Stegostoma tigrinum: one gene and its partners. The protein of the gene in region 1 interacts with the protein of each later gene in a pairwise test. Links are inferred from orthologs where the notes say so. Each region holds a gene or a part of one and is shown in the gene's direction. Other genes may lie near its edges. The genes, in order: ncoa6, esr2a and oxysterols receptor LXR-beta-like.

Region 1 (7,296 bases):
TGGCTTTCAAGTTCTGTCATCCAGGTCTTTTATATGTACTGAGAATAGCTGGGTCCAAGCACTGATACTTACAACACCCCATAAATCACTGTCTGCCACTTGGCAAACAAACAATTTACTCCTAGATAACAGAGTGTGGAGCTGGAGGAACAGGCCAGGTAGCGTCAGAGGACCCTATTGGAAAATTTCTGAAGGTTCCCTACCTGAAATGTCAACTTTCCTGTTCCTCTGATGTTGCCTAGCTTGCTGTGTTCCTCCAGCTCCACATTTTGTGGTGTCTCATTTAAGTATGCTTTTAGTTTCATCTACCGTATTCACTATTTACATGGTTCCTACACTGGGGACACCAAATGGAGATTTGGTGACCAATTCATGGAACACCTGTAAGGGCCACCTTGAGTTTCTAGTGATCTGTCATTTGACATCTGGCTCCCACACTAACATCTCTGCACCTTGCTAGCTGCAGTGTTCCTGTGAAGCTAAACACAACCTTGAGGAACAGTGTTTCACTTTGAACTCAGCTTTCCAAACTCATTACTGGGTTCAGACTATATAATGTCTGTTCCATTTCATTTTCTTTGCTTGTTTCATTTTCTTTTCAGTCAGCATCGTATCTATTCTAGGCACTTTTTTATTTCTTTGTTTCTTTTCTTGACCCATCACCAATTTCTTTGGCAATGTAAGGCTAGTGCTTCAGTCTTTCAAACTCTTCTGTCACAAAACTTTGTTGTTTTTGTCCCGCCCAGCCCTTGCTGAAAGCTTATTACATCTTTAATTTCTCCTAGTTTGGATCAGAGTCACAGACCTGAAATGTTTATTCCACTTCTCTCCACAAATGCTCTCACAAACTGCTCGGTATTTCCACCACTTCCTGCTTTTATTTCTACTTACAAACAGACAGCTATAATTAGGCAATTCTGTAGAATAATCTACATCATTAAGCAGAAGATTGGTATGGAGTAGTGAAGGTTAAAAAAAAGCTGGGGTGTCTTTTTAAGGAGGGTTGAAGGCATGTCCTTGATGAGTAAGTGAGAAATTGGGCCAAATACCCAGAATCACAGAATTCCTTCAGCATAGAAGGAGACTATTCAGTCCACTGTATCTTTGGTCATTTTAACTAACTGCCATTTTCCAGCCTTCTCCCCTCAACCATGAAGTCTTCCTTTTCAGGCAACAGGCTAATTCTCTTTTGAAAATACTGTCATGGACCAGACCAGACCTCCTCAAAATATATTAAGAAGGTAGCCTAGACTCCAATTGTTTTTTTTATTTTAAAGGTAACTGTTGTAACTATGTTCCAGATGCAATTTGATTGGTCAAGCTACTTAACATTAAGCAAAACACAACTTATTAAAACACTACAGTCAAAACACAAAAACTTATGATAACCTAATTCTATTGGAAAACGTAACACAATAATAAATACCATAAATAAGACTAATTAACTGTTCCAATTTGTTAACATCTCATAAACACACCCTTAGCAAAAAGGCAAATTCAGAAAACAGACTATTTCACATGCAGTTCTCTAATCTATGACGAAAGAACATCAAAAGACAGTTCCGAAAATGTAGTAGCCAGGAGGGATTAACTGCCTTCCTCTACCGCTGAGACCCCAGCAACAACTGCTGAAATCTAACTAAAAATCCTGGATCTGTGAGAGCTTGATCACACCCATACATGCTGCATGATTGTTATGACTTTAAAAAAATTCCCCAAGGCTTCACAAGTTGTTTGTCTTCTCACAGACTGCTCATTACTTTTCCCCAGTCTCGTTTTAAAACACCAAAACACATCTCTTAAAGCCACAGAATGTGCCTCCATCACAGTCTCAGGCAGTGTATTCCAAATCCAAACCACTGCCTTGATAACAAAGTGTAGAGCTGGATGAACACAGCAGGCCAAACAGCATCTTAGGAGCAGAAAAGTTTTCTGCTCCTAAGATGCTGTTTGGCCGGCTGTGTTCATCCAGCTCTCCACTTTGTTATCTCAGATTCTTAAGCATCTGCAGTTCCTATTACCCACCCCCACCCCCAAACCACTGCCTTGCTTCCTTTGTCAATTACTTTAAGTCTGCACCCTTTCATTCTTGATTCTTTCACAAGTGGGTGCAGTTACTCCCTGTCTACTCTGTTCAGAGCCCTCACAACCTTGAACATGTCAGGTCTCCTTTCAGCTTCCTCCCTGACAAGGAAAACAGGCTGAACATCCCAAAGTAATTCTCAGAAAGTCATAGCACAACATTTCCTACTCCAACTCCATTGATTAAGATTAACAGTGGGATGCTGTGAACGTGGATCATTCTCCATAACTTGGGAACTCATTGTCTTCTTGAGGCACTAACAGTGAAATTCATCATTGCCTCCAATATAATTGTTTGGTTCTTCAGCTAAGTGAAAAGAAGAATATGAGAACCAGGTTACTCAAATCTGAGACTGAAGTCAGGGACTACTAGAAAGCAGTGCTCCCTGTATAAGTTGAATTTTCTGACTCCAGGTGGGTTGAGAGGTGACACACCTCTCAAACAGGTCCAACTTGGACCCATGCCACCTGGCTCAGAGTTAGGAACATTACCACTAGACTATAAGAACCATTACTTATATTTTTGAACAGAGGTCTCATATAGTAAAGTTGATCTTTTGCTGCACCTTCTCTTTAGCTGTAATACTATATTCAGCATTTTGTTCTATTACCTTGACTTAGTTATATTAGGTATAATTTGCCTGGAGAGCACACAAAACCATACTTTTCACAAAACAACAAATGCTGGAGATCACAGTGGGTCAGGGAACATCCATGCAGAGAGGGCAAGCTAACTTTTCAAGTTTAGATGAGTCTTTTTCAGATTCACTGTGTCTCGATATGCGACAGTAATAAATCAACTCAAACTATTCAGAGATGTCATGACATAACTATCGAGCAGGTAGGGCAATGAGCCCAAGCCTTAGGGTCATTACCACTGCACAAAAGAACTACTATTTAATTTTGTTTTTCTGATGTCATTACACAATTGCGGAGCAGGTGAGATTTGAACTAACCTAGGCCTTCTTGCTCAAAGATAGGGACATTACCAGTGCACCACAAAGACCCTTTCCAGGGAAGCAGAAAGCTGACAATGAACTGCAGACGGACAAAGAAAAACGGAGAAAATGGCTTCGCCGGCAGTTCCGGGCGAAGCGCATGCGCGGTTATTCCCATGGTGACTAAGACGCGCAAGCGCAGCCCTCTCCCGGACCATTCCTGTCACAGAGATAATAGGTGGTAATGGGAGCTGCAGAATCTGAGATAGCAAAGTGTGAATCTGGATGAACACAGCAGGCCAAGCAGCATCTCAGGAGCACAAAAGCTGACGTTTCGGGCCTAGACCCTTCATCAGAGAGGGGGATGGGGTGAGGGAACTGGAATAAATAGGGAGAGAGGGGGAGGCGGACCGAAGATGGAGAGTAAAGAAGATAGGTGGAGAGAGTATAGGTGGGGAGGTAGGGAGGGGATAGGTCAGTCCAGGGAAGACGGACAGGTCAAGGAGGTGGGATGAGGTTAGTAGGTAGGAGATGGAGGTGCGGCTTGGGGTGGGAGGAAGGGATGGCTGAGAGGAAGAACAGGTTAGGGAGGCAGAGACAGGCTGGGCTGGTTATGCTGCTTGGCCTGCTGTGTTCATCCTGCTCCACACTTTGTTATTACTGTCACGTATTGAGATACAGCGAATACGATGAAGAGTCATCTAGACTTGAAACGTTAGCTTGCACTCTCTCCATAGATGTTCCCTGACCCACTGTGATCTCCAGCATATGTTGTTTTCAGCGAAACGCATTGTTTTGTGTGCTATCCAGGCAAATTAAACCTTAAATAACTAAATCAAGGCAATATAACAAAATACTGAATATAGTACTAGATTTCTGAAGAAGGGTCTAGGCCCGAAACGTCAGCCTTCCTGCTCCTCTGATGCTGCTTGGCCTGCTGTGTTCATCCAGCCCCGCACCTCATTATCTTGAAACAGAACAGTTTGCGCGATACCTCCAGTGGGTGGAGTTTTCTCAGCCGCCGGGGCGGCTCCTGACGTCACCACGCTGCCGGCCCTGAGCATTGATTGGCTGGCGCGCCGACCAATGGAACAGCACCTTACTGAAGCCCGATCACGCCTCCGTCGAGGGGAGTCCAATGGGAGCGCGGCTGTTTGGGGGGGGTCGGCTAGTGGGTAGTTCTCTGTGGATGCTGGTCGCTGTGTTGACGGGTCTTGGATGGGGGGGGGGATGGGAGGGGGAGGAGGGAGCCGATCGCAAATTCTATTCAGCATCAACCTGTGAAATTTATGGCTGTGTGAAACTAAGGTTCCAGCAGTGATCACAGGGATGAGAGCGACTGGGTCAGCAGCTTGACTGAGGCCGGTAAGTTTGTGACAGAGACCGGGGCCCTGCCAGCCTCGGACGACTCTTGGGGGCAGAGCAAGCTTGGCATCAATCCCGGGCCCGGTGCCACTCTTAAACACCCCCCCACCCCGTCATTCATTGTGCCGCAGTGTTTCGAGCTTTGCCTTCCCTCTCCGCCTCAATGTACGGTGTTGGGTTGATACCCAAACCTCCCAGTTCGCTTAGTCGATTAATTTAAACACAAACCAGCTATCCATATGTTTTTAAGAATAGTTCACTCTCGGCGCGCCTGAGATCGATCTGTCAGTTCGTATCACAGTGTTTCCTCCCAATTGTCACATTCCCTTGTTCGGTGTTAAACACTGTTGTGGTCTGTTTAATTTCTCATAATAATCTAGAACGCGACCTTCTGACCTATTATGCCTCTGCTGCTTCTTTGAAACAAAATCTGCAATAAGTCCTTAAGCCTCGTCTCTTTTGTCATTACTCCTGCCAAGTTGCACTTTTCAGACATTTATCCAGTTCCCTTTTAAAAAATACCTTTGAATAGGCTTCCACCACCCATTTGAGCAGAGTTCGAATGTCACTTTTCCTTACTTCTTGTCTGATAGTGATTATGATCAAGTTGTTTTGTTCTGTTTGAAGAATGCGATGATGCAAATTTTCCTGTCATGTTAAATACAGTTGAATTTTACTTCAATAAATCCTGTATTGCATTTTTTGTTGAATTCAATAGTAAAAGCACATAAAACTGTAGTAAGGGCAAGGTTCTTTCTGATGTTTGTCTATACAGTTGCAGAAACGGGGCTACATTATCATTAGTTAAATACGTTGTTACAGAAGCAATGTGTAGTACAATCAATGTGTTTTTTTTAATATTAACTGATGTAATTCTGTATTTCATCTTCAAATTATTTATCCTCATTAAAGACGTTCCCTAATTTTTTCCTTAAGTTTTGAAACTACTAACATTGGGTAACTTGATCAATTTCTTACTTGTTATGAATGTGAGTACCAGTTAAATCCTTAATGATAAATGTTCTGTTTTTGATCTGTGAATTAGTGTGTTTCTGTTGGTTTGGATTTAAACCTATAGGAAAGAATTTGAATGTGATGGATATGTATCTGTAGCGACTTCCAGAAACTTGCTTCAAGGGTGAAATAAATAATTTTACTAAGAGCAAAGACAAAGTTGCTGGAAAAGCTCAGCAGGTCTGGCAGCATCTGTGAAGGAAAAAAAAAGTGTGAATGTTTCAGGTCCAGTGACCCTTCCTCAGAACTGGTTTCATTAAGTTATACGAACTTGTTTGATTTTTAAATTGTACATTGAAGTTTTTGTGTAGGTGGCTCAATTATTGCAGTGCATGAGATCCATTTAAACAGCTTTTCTGTGTGGAATGATGAGTAGAAACCAGCTGTAGAGCATGTAATAACTTACTGTCTTTTTTTAGCTAACATGACAAGGTGTAGAGCTGAATGAACACAGCAGGCCAAGCAGCATCAAAGGAGCAGGAAAGTTGACGTTTCGGGCCGAGACCCTTCTTCAGAAGACCCTAGACCCTTTTCTGAAGAAGGGTTTAGGCCCGAAATGCCAGCTTTCCTGCTCCTATGATGCTACTTGGCCCGCTTTGTTTGTCCAGCTGCACACCTTATTATCTCAGATTCTCCAGCATCTGCAGTTCCTACTGTCTGTCTTTTTTAGCTTACTGTTTTTACAAGGCATACACTTTCACATGAACTTGTTTGTCAAGTATTGGATGTAGATCTCTCAAGTTGATATTTTAAATAATTCTTATTGGTAAAATTAATTTTTCTGTGACACGTTAGCTGAGAAGTGTGTTGGTGTGCGAAAAGGCCCTTTTTATTGGTGTTGATTTTTACTTTTACTTTGACACTGACTCAATACATACAGCTTATACCTTGCACTGGTCACTACATTTTTGTGTGGTTGATACCTTTTAAAGACAGTTGGTAGGTAACAAGTTTTTCTGTACCTCAAGCAGAAGTTTTTCTTAAAATTTCTTTCATGTTGTGATTTCTTCTGCCTTATTAATTGTGCTAATGCAGATATTGCAGCTATATTCATCAGTAACGAATGGCACATGAATGTAGACTAAATTGCAACAAGACAAAGTCCTTCATGTTGTCTTGGTCCACACTGGCCTGCAGGGACATAGGTCCTTCCATTGATACAGTGAGCTGCTGCATTGAAATTATAGTGAACAGAAGCATACTTAATTGATGGGTTGTCACTGGTGCTGAATATTTCTGTGTACACCTCAGAGTTTTGTAATTACACATTTGTAGTCCTAGATCTTGATATTTTGTATTTTCAGAATGTTATACACAGTACTTAATTCTATTTTGTTTAACGGCACATCCAGGCAAATCAAGCTTTTTGTGATCCATGTTACTGTGGACATTAGGTAGGGGGAAGATCTTGAAATTTTAAGACTATTGATCTTAATATGCATGATGCACAAAGTTGGCATATAGGCTGCAAATTAATTTTTAAGTACTTAATAATTTATGCATTAACATGCAAAGGTTGCGAAAAAAACAGAATGATGTTCTGAAGTGGCGTCATGCTGGACTCAGTGTTAACTCTGTTTCCCTCTCCACAGCTGCTGCCAGACCTCCTGAGTTTCTCCAGTATTCTTCATGTGTTGTTTCAGATTTACAGCATCCTCAGTATTTTGCTTTTACATAAAAGTTGCATCTTTACAGGCTTGTTTCACAAATGTCTTTGAGAAATATTGTTAAGTTTAGTTAATAAAATGTGAGGCTGGATGAACACAGCAGGCCCAGCAGCATCTCAGGAGCACAAAAGCTGACATTTCGGGCCTAGGCCCTTCATCAGAGAGGGGGATGGGGTGTGGGTTCTGGAATAAATAGGGAGAGAGGGGGAGGCGGACCGAAGATGGAGAGA
Region 2 (8,065 bases), on another chromosome or scaffold:
CCATCTATCCCTCCCACTGCTTCCCGAAGGCAGCAAACACCATCACAGTCCCCTCCCACCTCAGTTACAGTCTTTTCCAACCTTTTCCATCAGGCGGAAGATACAAAAGCTTAGACACACACACCAACAGGGTCGAGAACAGCATCTTCCCTGCTGTTATTAGGCTGCTGAACGGACCTCTCTAATTTTGAACTTAATGTTGACCTCACTCCCTGTGCACCTTCTCTGCAGCTGTAACAGTGTACTCATTGCTCCATTCCATTACCCTAACGCACTTTGTATGGTGTGACCTGCCTGGACTGCACGCAAAACAAAACTTTTCACTGTACCTGGGTACATGTGACAATAATAAATCATATCAAATCAAACCTTCATACTCTTCTGTTTTAGGGAATTCCACAGGCTCACCACCCTCCAACTGAAGACAATTTTCCTCATTTTTCAGTTTGAAATAGTCTTCGCTGTATCTTGAAACTGTAACCTCTGCTTTCCCCAACCAGAGGAAGTTTCCTCCTGCATCTAGTCTGTGAACTCTATGAGATACTCTTCCATCCTTCTAATCTCGAACGATTCTGTGATTGGGCGATATTTGCCAGATATTCCTGAGTGAGCAAAAAAGCTGCGCAGGCAGTCACTTAATGATGGTCAGTCAGGCTCACAGTATGATACATAGGAACAAATTGGAAGCTCCACACATTAATACAAAGGGCCATAAGACCATAAGACACAGGACCAGAAATTAGGCCATTCAGCCCATCAAGTCTGCTCTGCCATTCAATCGTGGCTGATATATTTCTCAACTCCATTCTCCTGCTTTCTCCCCATAACTCCTGATCCCCTTGACAATCAAGAACCCATCTATCTCTGTCTTAAATATACTCGATGTTTCCTACAGGCTGATTCCATGCACACAATGTAACAGTTAACAGTCAGTCATCATATCACAGGTGCATTGTGTAAGGCAACATCTTTAGCAGCCTGAAGAAGCTCTGAAGAAGAATCAGATTGGACTCTATGTTAACTCTGCATTCTCTCCACAGACGCTACTGATTTTTAGTAGCACTTTATTTTTATTCCTGATTTCCAAAATCTGTGCCTTATATTCTATTTTTCTTTCCCAATCTGGGCCACTTGCCATCCTCACAACTCCCCTCTTGCAGTATAAATGTCAGTTTCCCTTCACTTTGGTATTCTTGCAAATTGTCCTGAATGGTACAAGATGGAAAGTTTTTTCTATGCAAAAATGCGCCTTTTCTTTTCTGCAACGCTCATGCAAGTCTCTGTCTTTCCAATAATATTCCCTGACTACCGTCTCAGCTAGCCTGCTTTTGAGATTAAGGTTATGTTCCCTTGTTGCAGACTCCCCTTCTTATCTTGTTATGAGTTTGGATCAGAGATTTAGTTTTAACTGGGGTCTCTGCCTCTGTCAGATGGAAACTGTTCTGCTCTTTTGGCTGGGATTTACAGGAGATGTTTCAAGAGGCCAATGACAATATTTAGCTTCTTGGCTTAGTATGTCCAGCAATCATCATTTGAAGCCATCAGTTATCAGGATTTGATGAAGGAGTGTTTTGTAGGGACCCTCTGTCAGACTCAGAGTCAGTCAGAAAGAAAACAAGTTAGTATATTATCCCAACCAGCCTGCAGTTTAACGACTCTGTGCAGATAACAATCTGGAAAGAATCTAGATTCATTTTTATAATTAAAGGCAGATTAGTGAGATGCTTTGAAGTCAATTTTAAGACTTGAAATTAATTTGGGAATTGAGATTAGATCAGGAACAGCAGGACCAATATGTGAACGTTTTGGAAAAATGTTCACATCTAGCGGTAACAAATCAATCTGTGAGATTGCTGGTTGATGCAGTGACTCCTTTCAGAAGGATTGGAGTTTGAAGATTGGTTCAGATAGAGAGCATCTGAGGACAACAGCACAGCTCCTTTCATCCTGAGAGCCTGCTTTTACCATTCCACACGAGCTGGAGGCCACTCAGCCCCTTGACAATGTCTAGGACATTTCCACATAGCCCAGTGGCTGTTGTTCCCATCCTGGATGCAGAAGGTTGTGGGGTCGTCCCAGGTCTAGAGACTTAGCAGAAATGCAATATCGGTATTTACTGAGGGAGTGCTGCACTGTCTTGGCCACTGTGCTTAGGCATCACTCTCACTATGGCCCTGAATCATTATCCAAATTAACCCCTCTGCCCCATTCTCTTCCTCTGGCCCATCAGTCACCAAACTAATCCCACTGCCCGCTCACTCCCTGTAGCCCTGTATCAATCCCAAACTAATCCTTCGATCAGATCTCCCTCCAATTCTCTCTCTCCCAACGGGAACATCAGTTTCTCCAGAACAAATCTGGAGTTAAACTTCTCCGATCCCTGGAACCAAACTTGCTTCCCTACACTGTCCCGAAGGATCCTGCTCCCTTCGCGTAGTGTGGTGCCTTGACTGGGCTCAAGGCCCTGGTTGTGGCCTAACTGCAGCTTTACGGGGCAAGAACAAAAATGACTGGAGAAACACAGCAGGTCTGGCACCATCTGTGGACAGAGAGGGAGAGAGAGACAGAGATAATACATCGATTCTAGTTACCTTACAATTGAACTGACTGTAGCTGGGTAGGGATGGTATATATGTCTGAAAGAGCATCATTTTGTTTTCTGCTTGAGGACCCCACAGGTTTTAGGGCTCAATATTGAGAACAATAATGTTTGGGCCTGGGAACCTCCTTTCTACATCCTTTCTTCAGCCTCTGCCATGATTCTGGCTGATTTCCACACAGCTAACCATTTTCACCCACTAATGGCTCTTATTATCAGACTTATTCTGTCTCCCTGACTTACTATTACCCACTGATTTGTCTGCAAACTCACTCCCAATGGGTCCATCTTCACCTACTGCACACTCCTTTACCTCCCCTACCCCTTTATCCCCCTCCCAACCCCTGTCTTCAGCATAAATACCACCTTTTCCTAGCTACCATCAGGTATGAAGAAGGGTCACTACACCTGAAATGTTTACTCTGCTTCCTCTCCGCAGGTGCTGCCAGACCTGCTGAGTTAGGGCAGCGGTTAGCACTGCAGCCTCTCAGCACCAGGGACCCAGGTTCGATTCCAGCCTCGGGTGACTGTCTGTGCGGAGTTTGCACATTCTCCCTGTGTCTGCGTGGGTTTCCTCCGGGTGCTCTGGTTTCCTCCCACAGTCCAAAGATGTGCAGGGTAGGGTGGATTGGCCATGCAAAACTGTCCCATAGATTCCAGGCATGTGCAGGCTAGGTGGGTTTGCCTTGGGAAGTGCAGAGTTACAGGGATGGTGTGGGTCTTGTTAGGATGCTCTTCAGAAGGATAGTGGTGACTGGATGGACCAAATGGCCTGCTTCCACACTGTCAGGATTTTAGGAATTTTTCCAGCAGTTTCTGTTTCAGATTATTTTTTAATATACATCTGTGGGAGGGCTGGGTCAGTACTAATTGCCTGTCCTTAATTGCCCCTTGAGAAGATTGTGGTGAGCTCCAGTTCTTTGTTTTATTTCAGCTTCATGAATGCTCAGCACAACTTCTGTGTTTTCTCGAACCCTCCATTGATGAGTCTGTGTGCTTTATAATCCAATTGTCTCCTTCCGTCCGGTCGCTCTCATAGTCAACCCCAGACCCCCAAGTCATCAACAACTCCTTATAGCCCAGCAATTAAAGTCTACGTCTCACACCTCACCACCCCCATCTCTTCTGTCTCACACCTCACAGCTCTCAGAGAACAATGACCATGCTAAATGAGGCTGTTCGACCCACCATTCTTGTGTTGGTCCTATTCCCTTCTGCCAATCTCCTGCTTTCTCCCATAATCCCTGGGACACCATTCTTACCCAAACCCTCTCAATGATCCTGCCTCCACTACATTTCCAGGCGGTGTATTTTTAAAGTCTTAGTGAAATGTAGCTCGGGTTGTTATTTCAATTGTTCATTTCTTTGCTGATCTGGTTGTTCCATGGTGTGCAAACATTTTCTTACCCTACGAGGCAACATCATCACTGCAATCTCTGATTATCAGGCAGTGCATTCCATATCCTAACTACTCACTGGCTGAAAAAAAACTTTTCCCATCTCCTCATCCTTACAGCATCTGCATGTCGATCCTCACGAGTTGCTAGCCTGCTCTGAAGCTAGTTCCTAGAATCCAAACATTGTGGAATCAGGCCATTCAGCACATCGAGTCCACACTTACCCTCTGTAGAGCATTCCACCCAGAGTTACATCCCCACCCTTTGGCAACCCTGCATTCAGCACGGTCAATCCACCCTAACCTGCACATCTTGGACTGTGGGGGGAAACCGGAGCACCCAGAGGAAACCCATGCAGACACGGCGGGTGCAGCTGAATGAACACAGCAGGATCCTAAGATGCTGCTTGGCCTGCTGTGTTCATCCAGCTCCGCACCTTGTTACCTCGGATTCTCCAGCGTCTGCAGTTCCTATTATCTCAGACATGGGGTGGGGGGGAATTGTGCAAACTCCACACCAACAGTTGCTCAAGGGTGGAATCAAACCTGGGTCCCTGGCACTGTGAGACAGCAGCGATAACCCCTGAGCCACCCAAATTGGTATAGTTGGCATGCTGCTCAGTCTTTCTCACTCCTGCTAGTTCTAAACTCTGCATTGCTATAACCACGGGATGCAGGTACGGGGAATGATGGGGCTGGTTGGCCATGGATTTATAAAAAAAAGAGGACATTGACGGTTCAGTAGTTGAAATAGATGTGAAGACATAAGAATGTCTGGCCTAGACCCGCTGGTGGAATAGCAGAACACCCTCCCATCTCCCCACTGTGTCCATGTACTTTGGTGAGAGTCAGAGGGAGGAGGGGATTTGCAGGAGGAGTTGGAGGGAGGGGGTGTTGGAATGGTGCTGACTGACAACTGCAGATGGCGCTGCCTTCCCAGGGCAGTAAGTGGGAGTGAGAACACTGGCAGCTGAGCAGCGCTTCCCACCAATAGCTCTGTGTGTGTGTGTGTGAGAGAGAGACAGCGCAGCTGCATTCCTCAGCCTCCCTATTCCCTCCCCAGCTCCAGGGAGCAGCTTTGAGCTGGGGCTGCACAGAGACGCAGAGGCGGGGAGGGAGGCAGCAGCTGGAGACTGTGGATGCTGGAGGCCAACAGCGAGGTACCTGAGTTTGACACAACTTTCAGCAGGACCATGGACCGGGAGGAGCTGCTGAAGAGACGGTGAGCATCTGAGAGCAGCCTGCCCTGTGTACACACTCTCTCTCTGGGTACCCTCTCTCCTTGGGTCTCCCTTTTATCCCCTGTCTATCCCTCCCTCCCTTCTCCCCCAACTCTTCCCTCCCTTCTCCCCCAACTCTTCCCTCCTACCCCATCCTATTTCACATTCTCCTCGCTCCTGTCTCTTTCCCCACTCTCACCTCTCTCTCTCTCTCTCTCTCTTTACAACTAACTCCCGACACTTGTTTTTCATTGAGCTGTGATTTTTTTTTCTGAAACGCAGCAATCCTGTTAAAATATCCTGTCCGGGGAAATGTTTTCTTTTAAACGCCCACGTCCTCTCGCGGGCGACTTCAGATCCCTCCGTGAATTTCAGACTTCATGTGCTGCCCCGGACCCCCAGCATCCTGGGGTGTGGGGGCGGGAGAGAGAAGGTACTGCCCAGTGACAGGGGGCACGGGGGCTTACTCAGAAATTCCCAGCTGTGTTGTGTTTCATTCAGGGACTGAGCTGGACACTCGTGTTCACACTCAGAGGGTTTCGGTCCCCTCCGAATCCGGACTTTGATGTGGTGCCAGGTCTCACTGCACCCCTGAGAGGGCAGCCAGGGGCTATTGCCAGAGAGCGCACTCTCCCAGGCTCCACTGTGAGTGCTGACTAGCTATTTGGCCACATCAGGCATCACAGCAGAATGGGATCCTCACACTTGCCTCCCGTCCACACCCCCCCTCCTCTCTCATTTACTCACTCATTCTCCGCCTCTTTCTCTCTCTCACTCATTCATTCATCTCTCTCGCTCTACCTCTGCTTCACGTCTCTGTCACCACCCACTCCTCCCCTCTCTCTCACTCCCCTCTCCACTCTTTCTCGCCCTCTCTCCTTTTCCCCCCCTCTCACTCCCCCCCCCCCCCCCGTCTCCCTTATTCAGAGTTGGGATTGAAATTGATCATGGACTGGAGTGTAATAATTCCCCAATTTGCCCCAGTTTAGGGCCTTAGCAGTAGCCTAGGGGTAAAAGTCAGCAGGTCACAAATGCCTGAGCCACCCCATTCCCCCCCCCCCAACACTGGGCATTGCCCCCAGGCTGCTGGGGGAACTGGGACCGCACATAAGTTGGGATCACGTTTATTGGAAAATGTACTTCCGGCACCAACACTGATCATCTGCATCCCCAGCCAGACCACCCCTACAAATGTGCCTGAAGGGTTCTACATCCTGAGACAGCCTGGTCAGTGCCTGTGTGTAATCACCTGTCCAGGTGAGGCACATGAAAGCCAGTCTCAGTGAACAAACTGTAAACATTATCCCTGTGTGAAGGTGGCTTTGGTTCAGTGCTCACTGATTGAGAACCTGGTGTTGGCTTTGTAAATATCATCTGGAAGCCTTGGAAATGGTGTGTGTGAATGTGTGTGTGAGAGTGAGTGTGTCTGTCTATGTGTGTCTCTGTAGTGTGTGTGTGCGCGCATCTGTCTGTGTATGTGTCTGTGTGTGTGTGTGTGTGTGTGGGTGTGTCTGTAGCGTGTGTGTGTGTGTGTGTGTGTGTGTGTGTGTGTGTGTGTGTGTGTGTGTGTGTCTGTAGTGTGAGTGTGAGTGTGTTCCCTTATTCCTCCAGGTGGTGGTATTACTTAGTTTTTGAGAGAGACGTAGCTTATTGCAACAGATTGCTGAGTCTCCGTTAACCCTGCATCCTTCCAGTGCTGTTAGAGCATTCCACACTCAGTCACCGGTTAAAATATTGTTACAAATCCAGCCACAGCCCATGTTCAAGCAAAAAGCTTCACTCAGGTTGGAATCTTTGCTTTAGAGAAAACTCTCACACTTTCTTTTCTCTGTCTACGATATACCACGGACAGTGAACGTGCCCCCCTGCCCTATTCTCCTCTCTGGCCATCTCTCCTGCTGTTGTATTCACAATAGGGGCCTGTTCTCAACTGATCTGCTTAAGTGTCAGTAGGACAGAGGTAGGAATTGCATTTCAATATCATCCTTCTCATCCTCAAGATGTCCTCAAGTATTTCGCAGGTGGTATCTTTTTAAAGTGTGGTCACTGTTGAAAACATTGGTCAAGCAATTTGCACGCAGTGAGCCCCCATAATATGTCCTGTGATAATAATCAGAATATCTGCTTCAAAAACATAGAGAGATGGTCTCAGTGTTTTTGAAATGAAACATTGGTCAGGACACTGGAGAGAGCTCCCCTTTGCTTCTTAAATTGTGACTGTGGAATATTTTGCATCGACCAGAATCGGCTTGGACCTCAGTTCAATGTCTTGTAGAACAGAGCACCTCTGAGAGTGAAGCAGTCCCTCAGTACTGCACCAGAGGGTTGGACTGATTTTTCAGATTGAGACGTAGATAGAATTTTAGAATTAACAGCAATGCATCGCTTACCTGTTGGACCATCTCTTTTAAGACCCTACGATTGAGGCATCTGGATCCAGAGACTTGTCAGATGCCAGCTTCTTCATTTCGCTCAGTCCCACTTCCCCAGTGATTGTAATCTCACTGAGCTCCTCACTCCTGATTTACTGCTGTTACTGAGATGGCTTTCATCCTCTACAGCGGAAACTATCTGTTCATTTCGTCCACTATTTCCTTACTGTCTGCTATTAAATACCAATTCTCCTACTCTAGAGGTATTTAATCTTTTCCATTTTAAATACTCTCTTCCACTTTTAAACACTCCGAGCTAGCTTTGTCTCATAGTCTAATTTACTTTTACTCTGGATTAATATTTCAATCATATTCTGCTTTCTTTATACTCAGACTAATTATCCGACTTGCCACTTAACTTTGAACAGTCATGTGCCTTTTCCTTCAGTTTGATGCTTTCCTTAATTTTTAATGAATT
Region 3 (7,537 bases), on another chromosome or scaffold:
GCTTGGCCTGCTGTGTTCATCCAGCTACACACTTTGTTATCTTCCAAACTCCCACATGGCTTTTCAAACACACGCCATGGACATGAACTAAACTTGCTCAACAGCCGTGAAGCTTGGGCGGAAAATCCTCTGAAATAAACACACATCTGAAGAAACATCTCCACGTTTTTTCAAGACCCGCAACTTTCCCCACTCAGTGGCCGAGAACACCTTCGACTGTGTCTCCCATATTTCCTGCAACTCGTCCCTCACACCCCCTCCCCGTAATAACAACCAAAACAGAATCCCCCTTGTCCTCACATACCATCCCACCAATTTCCAGATCCAATGTATCATCCTCCGACACTTCCGCCATCTGCAATCCGACCCCACCACCAAAGACGTTTTCCCCTTCCCACCATTATCTGCTTTCTGGAGGGACCACTCTCTCCATGACTCCCTTGTCCGCTCCACACTCCCCTACAGCCCACCACACCTGGCAATTCTCCCTGCAACCGCAGGAAGTGTTACACCTGACCCTACACCTCACCCTCACCCCCATCCCAGGCCCTAAGAAGATCTTCCACATCAAGCAGATGTTCACCTGCACATCTGCTAATGTGGTATACTGTAACCGCTGAACCTGTTGTGGCCTCCTCTACATCGGGGAAACCAGGCGGAGACTTGGGGACCGCTTTGCAGAACACCTCGGCTCGGTTCGCACTAAACAACTGCACCTCCCAGTCGCAAACCATTTGAACTCCCCTTCCCATTCCTCAAATATTATGTCCATCCTGGGCCTCCTGCAGTGCCACAATGATGCCACCGGTAGGTTGCAGAAACAGCAACTCATATTCTCCTTGGGAACCCTGCAGCCCAATGGTATCAATGTGGACTGCACAAGCTTGAAAATCTCCCCTCCCCCACTGCATCCCAAAACCAGCCCAGCTCAACCCCGCTTCCCTAACCTGTCCTTCCTCCCACCTATCCCCTCCTCCCACCTCAAGCCCCACCCCCATCTCCTACCTACTCACCTCATCCCACCCCCTTGACCTGTGTCCGTCCGCCCTGGACTGACCTATCCCCTCCCTAACTCCCCACCTCCACTCACCTTTACTGGCTGCATCCCCGCCTCTTTGACTTGTCTGTCTGCTCTCTCCCATCTTCTCCTCTATCCACCTCCCCATCTCTCCCTATTTATTTCAGAGCCCCCTTCCCCCCCCCATTTTCTGAAGAAACGTCCAGGCCTGAAAAGTCAGCTTTCCTGCTCCTCGGATGCTGCTTGGCCTGCTGTGTTCATCCAGCTCTACACCTTGTTATCTCAGATTCTCCAGCATCTGCAGTTCCCGCTGCCTCTCCACATGCATGTTTCATTCTCCTTTGGAGCACTGGACAAACCTAGATGGAATACGGAGTTAACAAGGTGTGGAGCTGGATGAACACAGCAGGCCAAGCAGCATCAGAGGAGCAGGAAAGCTGACATTTCGGGCCTAACCCTTCTTCAGATGATGCCTCCAAACCAAAGAAATTAGGGATGGGTAACAAATGCTGCTCTTGCCAGCATTCCAAAAAGGCTATGGTTAAAAAAAAAGAACTGCCTTTATTTTCCAAATGTTGCATCAAAAATAGTAACATATTTAATATATTTTTTGCATAAACTCTGACAGCAACATAGTGGAATGTCCCAAATACAGGAGCCATATGATTCAACAGGTAAACAGGTCATCAGGTTGCCATAGTCTTACCAGACCACATGGCTCCTCTTTCTTTTGAGACAGATGACTGGTGGTGATTCAACCTTGGGGCCACCATATCTTAGGTGAGGGGAGAGGTTGAGAAGCAGTGTCCTTCCTGGTGTCCTCAGCTGGTGATGGGAATTGAACCCATAGCTGTTAGTTTCACAAACCAATCCCTGAGAAGTAAGCAGAACGCGTTGGAAATACACTTGCTCAGGCAGCATCTGAGGAGAGAAACAAGATAATGTTTCGTGTTGGTGGCCTTTTGCCAGAACTGGAAAACATTAGCCGTGTAAGACGTCTGAAGTACAAGACAGGGATGTGGTGGAGATAAAGAATGGGATAGTTAAGCAGGCAAATGCGGGAGAAATTAAAGAGCACAAAGGCAGATAACCCAGAGTAAACAGTGGTGGGAATAAGACAAATAAAGATACCAAGAATTGATCTAATTGAGATAAGACAGCAAAATCACTAGCAATGACTGCTGTTTGGAAAACCAGCAATTGTGAAATTATTAAACTTAGTTCCATTAGCGGCTATTCATTCTCCCAGGCTGACCGTTATCCACTCCTTTCTCTGCCCATCTGCTCTGCTCTCTGTTCGTCCTCTATCCCCACCTATCACTTACTCCTTAACCCTCCCCCCACCCTACCATTTGCACAAAATCAACCTTTTCCTAGCTACCATCACTGAAGAGGTCACGCTAAATCTGAAACATTCACTCTGCATAGACCTGCTGAGCTTTTTCAGCGATTTCTGTTTTCGTTAAACTTGGATGTTGAGTACAGAAAGTGCCTGATTCTGAAGTTGTATAAGATATCCAACTGAAGACAATTTACAGGGCTTAGAATGGGAGAACAAAATTCTCCCTCTCTCTTGTTTTGTTCAGGGACAAGCAGTGTTTTCTGAATGGTGCAGACTCAATGGGCCAAAGGCCCTTTGTTTGTGCTATTGATCTGCACAACTCTAAGAGGCAACGGCTCAAGGCATATCCAAATTAATGGGTGACTCAGAGGCTTTCCTTGAGTTTGAACGACTTAAAAATATGCATTGATATGTATCAGGAGTCAATGCTTATTGGGGTCAGTTTGGAAAATGGAGTTGAGGCCACCACCTTGCTGAATGGCAGAACAAACTAGAGGGGCCAAAATGGCCTACTTCTCGTCCTCATTCTTCTATTTGTTTGCATGCATCCATCACCAGCAGAGGTTTGCAATGCAGCTTTGGCAAAATTATTATTAAAGGAGGCAAAAACAGAAAACGTTGGCAAAAGTCATTAGATCTGGGAGCATCTATCAAGAAATAAATGGAGATAATGTTTCCAATGCAATGAGTCATACAGATTTTACAGTATGGAAAGCAACCCTTTGGCCCATCATGTTTATGCCTATCAGTAAGCACCCATCTACTCTAATCACATTTTCCAGCACTACCCATAATAATGATATATGTTTGCAATGACATTTCAAGTGCTCATCTAATTACTTTCTAAATGTGTTACAGGTTTCTTGCCTTTACTACTCTTTAAGATAGAGAGTTCTAGATATCCACTTCATTCTGAGTGAAAGTTTTCCCTCAAATTGCCTCTAAACCTCCTGATCCTTACCTTAAAAGTGTGCCCTTTCAACAAAGCAGAAAAGTTTCTATCTGTGCGCCTGAGAAATTTATACACCTCATGACTATCTCTTAACTATGGACTTTTCTTTCTCTCCACAGATGCTGCCAGACATGCTGAGTTTCTTCAGCACTCAAATGAAACAAAGAACTGTGGATCAAGAACAAAGTTGCTAGAAAAGCTCAGCAGATCTGGCAGCATCTGTGAAGGAGAAAACAGAGTTGGCATTTTGGGTCCGGCGACCCTTCCTCAGAAGGGTCTTTGGTTCTGAGGGTCACTGGACCCAAAACGTTAACTTTGTTTTCTACTTCACAGATGCTGCCAGACCTACTGAACTTTTCTGGCAATTTTGTTTTTGTTCCTGATTCACAGCATCCACAATTCTTTTGGTTTTTATGAATCTGAAACAAACACAAAAAGTGCTGGAGAAACTCAGCAGATCTGGTAGCACCTATGCAGCAAGAAGCAGAGTTAACGTTTTGAGTTCAGTATGACTCCACTCCAGAACTGGAAGGATTCCTGGACTCGAAACGTCAATTCTGTTTCTCTCTCCACACATACTGCCAGACCTGCTGAGTTTCTCCAGCAATTTCTGTTCTTATTTTCAGATTTCCAGCATTGTTTTTATTGTGGCAACAGCATCATTCTCTTTGGTGTGAGAATGCACTGTCATATTGAGCAAAGGGGCTAAGTGCATGCCACTGAAAAGCAATGGCCAGTTATTGGGATAAGCCAGAGGCCGCTACAGGAGAACCATCCACTTCTCCCCCGAACAAAGATGGCGCCCCAATGACGCAACAGTCAGAGGGGCAACACTCAACGGGATTCGATTTTAATATAAATAAAAAAGTTCAGATATTGAATAAATCTTTTTGCCTAGCAAAGCGCCGCCATTGTTTTCAAATCTGGAAAGGAAAAACCTGTAGGAAAGGAATGATATAACGCTGCAGCGGCTTCCGCCGGATGTGGCATCTACGCCGTGCGTCAGACAAGCTTGACGGCGGTGGTGATGGACGTGGAAGTTCACCAATAACACCAAGGAGTGGGCACGCGGTTGTCCAATGATTGTTGGAGATAGGCGGGACCCGCGGGAACGGTCAGGTTAGGTTGCGCCTGGGTTTCCCTGAAGTTGTCAAAGGAGGGGGAGGGGAGAGACAGAGAGAAACTACAGGAGAAAGGGGAAAGTTCCCAGGGGTTGGACGGAAAAATAGTCGCTGTACTTAAAACCCCAGGCAGGCCGGTAAGGACATGGGGATTGTGATATTGATGAGTTCTGGTGTGTGATGATTCCAGTGGAGGGGAGAGCGTTTAGATCTGTTGCTTGTTATTCCTGTTTAAATGCTGCATTATTATTCTGGGTGAGCTGGAGAGGGGGTTGAGTTGAACAGGGGGTTGGAAAGGCCTCCTGCCTGTATCCAGGCCCAGAGTGGACTCTGTCTGTCTACACCACACCTTTCGGGGGAAGGGGGGAGCTTTGAGATCTCAAATTTTCCCTCAAATCACTGGCTGGGCTCAGATCATGCTCATCAGCAGGCTGGCTGTAAAATTGCTTCAAATCACTGTTTTGTGGCAATGATTTGACTGCTGCGTTTGTTTTAAGAAGTTGCTGGATGTTCTTTTTTAAAAAGTAGTTTGAAAACTGATACGTTTTGTTTGAGCCTCTGCCATCACGGTCTCTTTCTGAGTGACTGTTAATCTGACCTTTTGCTGGCTAACTGGCTCGGTGTTTCTATCCTTTCTCAATGTTTGGATGTTGCTTAACTTGCATCGTTAGTTCAAACCCATGACTTGGATTCAAGAAAATGCGGTGAAGGAGAATACTGTGCTGCGTGCTTAAATTTGCGCGAAACATCTTACGAGAGGCAATGATACAGAGCAATCTGCATTCTAAATAGTTCTTGATCTGTTTTCTGTGTCTGGTGTGGTGCATTGTGGTGTAATTTGGACAGACCCTGAGAAAGTAAGATTGAGATTTGCAGAAAAATAAATCACCTTCATGTTTTATTTCTGTGACAGCTAGCACTCTCAGGGTTGTGGTGGGATGTGGGAACGTGCTTGTCACTTGCTGGGACTTAGCAATGCTGTCGTGGAGGAATTTTTAGTGTACCGAAAACACTTCGCCATACAAGGGGGAGAGATGGAGCAGGAGAGCAATTGTCATTGGTCTTTTCTAGTGCCACTTTAGGATTGACACTGGTGGATGTAGAGCAGTTAATTGGTAATCTATCTTGTTTTTCACTTAAGAAAGTGAGTGGCATGATGGATGTGCACACATACTCACCCACTCTTCTAAAAACCAGTCAGTGTAGACTAGCACTGTATGGAGTGGGGAGGGGGATGTGCATGGTGTTTTAAATGAGTGCCGTAATAGCCCTGGGGGCTTGAATTTGTTATGTTTGTACTTGTTTTTTTTGAAATTAAAACCAAAATAACATGAGAATTGTAAATTATTTTCATAATTATGTTGCTTACATGATTTTTGTGCCCACATAGAATCCTTTATGGTGCGTTGCCTTATGACTAAAGATTGAACAGGCTAACCTTCATTTCATTTGACTTCAGGGCAGCAATGATCTGATCAAAGTTTATCAGATTCCTGAATGGTCTTAATAAAGTGAACATGGAAAGGATATTTGCATTTAAGGGGGCATCCAGACCTAGGCGGACTGTTAAAATTAGGGATCGTGCTTTTATGGCCAAGATGAGGGATTTTTTTGGTCTAAAAGGATTTTGTGATTTTTGGAACATTCTTCCTCAGAAGACAGTGGAAGAGGAATCATTGGAATATTTTTAAGGAGCAGGTTGGTTCCCATGCCTAACAAGAATCTAAGATTATCAGAGGTAGATGGGACTATAGAATTCAGAACACAAACAGATGATCTTGATGAATCATGGTGCAAGCTGGAAGGGCTAAATGTTACTGCTCCTGATTTGTCGTTCATTCTAATGTGGCTGCAGAGCATGGATGAATTGTTTGATTTTCTTCTTGTTTGCTGTGCCTAGTCTTTCTCACTTGCCATGTGTCCTTAACTACCTGTTTGAAGGATGCGATGCCACTACTTGAGACTACTTCCCAGGTTGTTCTTTCTTGCGCATTTTAGTCCCTGTCTGTGGTAGATAGACCACATTTCCTGAGGCTTGCCTTCAAGCAGTCCATGAACCTTCATCTTGGCAGACCTCACAAATGTATCTGAGTTGAAGCTGTGAATACATGACGGTGTTGGGGATTTAACATCAGTCATACATTTTGCATGTCTGCTATATCAGAGCTGGGGTTTGATGAGTGCTCCAATTTCAGGGATTCCCACTCTTTGAAATACTATTGCGTTGGGTACTTCTTAAAAATTTATTTGTGAAACCTGACCCTTGCTACCTAGGCCAGCATTAACTGCCCACCCTCAATTGCCTAGAGAGCAGTTAAGAGTCAACCACATTGCTGTGAGTCTGGAGTCCTGTGTAGGCTGTACAGTGTAATGACAGCAGATTACCTTCCCTAAAGGAGGACATCAGGGAACCAGATGGGTTTTTACAACAATGGATTGTTTTTAATTCCGTATTTTACTTGCTGCTATGGTGAGACTTGAACCCACCTCCCTAGAACATTAGCCTGGGGTTCTGAATTACTGACCCAACCACATTATCAAAGTACCACCACCTCATTTTGTCCTTCCATTGATGCCCATGATGTTCCAAATACATCTCGTTCAATTGCTTAATATGTCTAGTGTAGGTTGTCTAGGTCCATGTTTTTGCATCGTGAAGTTAACAATATAAAGCAGGAAGCTTGACTAATCCACCACCCTCCTGCTCTTAAGAAGAGTGGTTGTTCTGTTCTGTTGCTACTTTGATTCACATGAGCTGAGCAGAGATCAAATCTCAAACTGTCCTGCTGTATATGTCTCAGTGCCACTCCACAGCACAACAGAGAATATAATTCCCCCTGCTTTTCTTCCAAATACTGTTGTGGGATCTTGCACATACACCTGAGAAAGAGAATGGGTTATAGTTTAATGTCTCCTCCTTAGCAGCCCCTCGGTACTGTGCTGGACCTTCAGCTTTGATTCCTAGAAAGTGTACTTGTTGGAATGTTGGGCACAACTGAATTGGGCTGTTGTCTGTTGCCACCCATTGTCCAATTATATGCATGCAATCCAGGCCAACTTGGGAAGGACCATCACTCGGAGAGTTGTCTGTATTTGAAACATAT

What was found.
Region 2: the proteins of ncoa6 (region 1) and esr2a interact in a two-hybrid assay, tested with the Homo sapiens proteins (3 studies listed by BioGRID). The link is inferred for Stegostoma tigrinum from reciprocal best matches to the Homo sapiens genes NCOA6 and ESR2.
Region 3: the proteins of ncoa6 (region 1) and oxysterols receptor LXR-beta-like interact in a two-hybrid assay, tested with the Homo sapiens proteins (2 studies listed by BioGRID). The link is inferred for Stegostoma tigrinum from reciprocal best matches to the Homo sapiens genes NCOA6 and NR1H2.

The regions. Positions count from the first base shown.
Region 1 is NC_081372.1:13,070,324-13,077,619, reverse strand, and holds the start of ncoa6 (nuclear receptor coactivator 6), read left to right. Parts: upstream 1-4,264; 5' UTR 4,265-4,385; intron 4,386-7,296. UniProt on the Homo sapiens protein: Nuclear receptor coactivator that directly binds nuclear receptors and stimulates the transcriptional activities in a hormone-dependent fashion. Coactivates expression in an agonist- and AF2-dependent manner.
Region 2 is NC_081363.1:3,531,883-3,539,947, reverse strand, and holds the start of esr2a (estrogen receptor 2a), read left to right. Parts: upstream 1-5,023; 5' UTR 5,024-5,134; coding exon 5,135-5,217; intron 5,218-8,065.
Region 3 is NC_081391.1:16,073,104-16,080,640, forward strand, and holds the start of oxysterols receptor LXR-beta-like, read left to right. Parts: upstream 1-4,453; 5' UTR 4,454-4,570; intron 4,571-7,537. UniProt on the Homo sapiens protein: Nuclear receptor that exhibits a ligand-dependent transcriptional activation activity. Binds preferentially to double-stranded oligonucleotide direct repeats having the consensus half-site sequence 5'-AGGTCA-3' and 4-nt spacing (DR-4).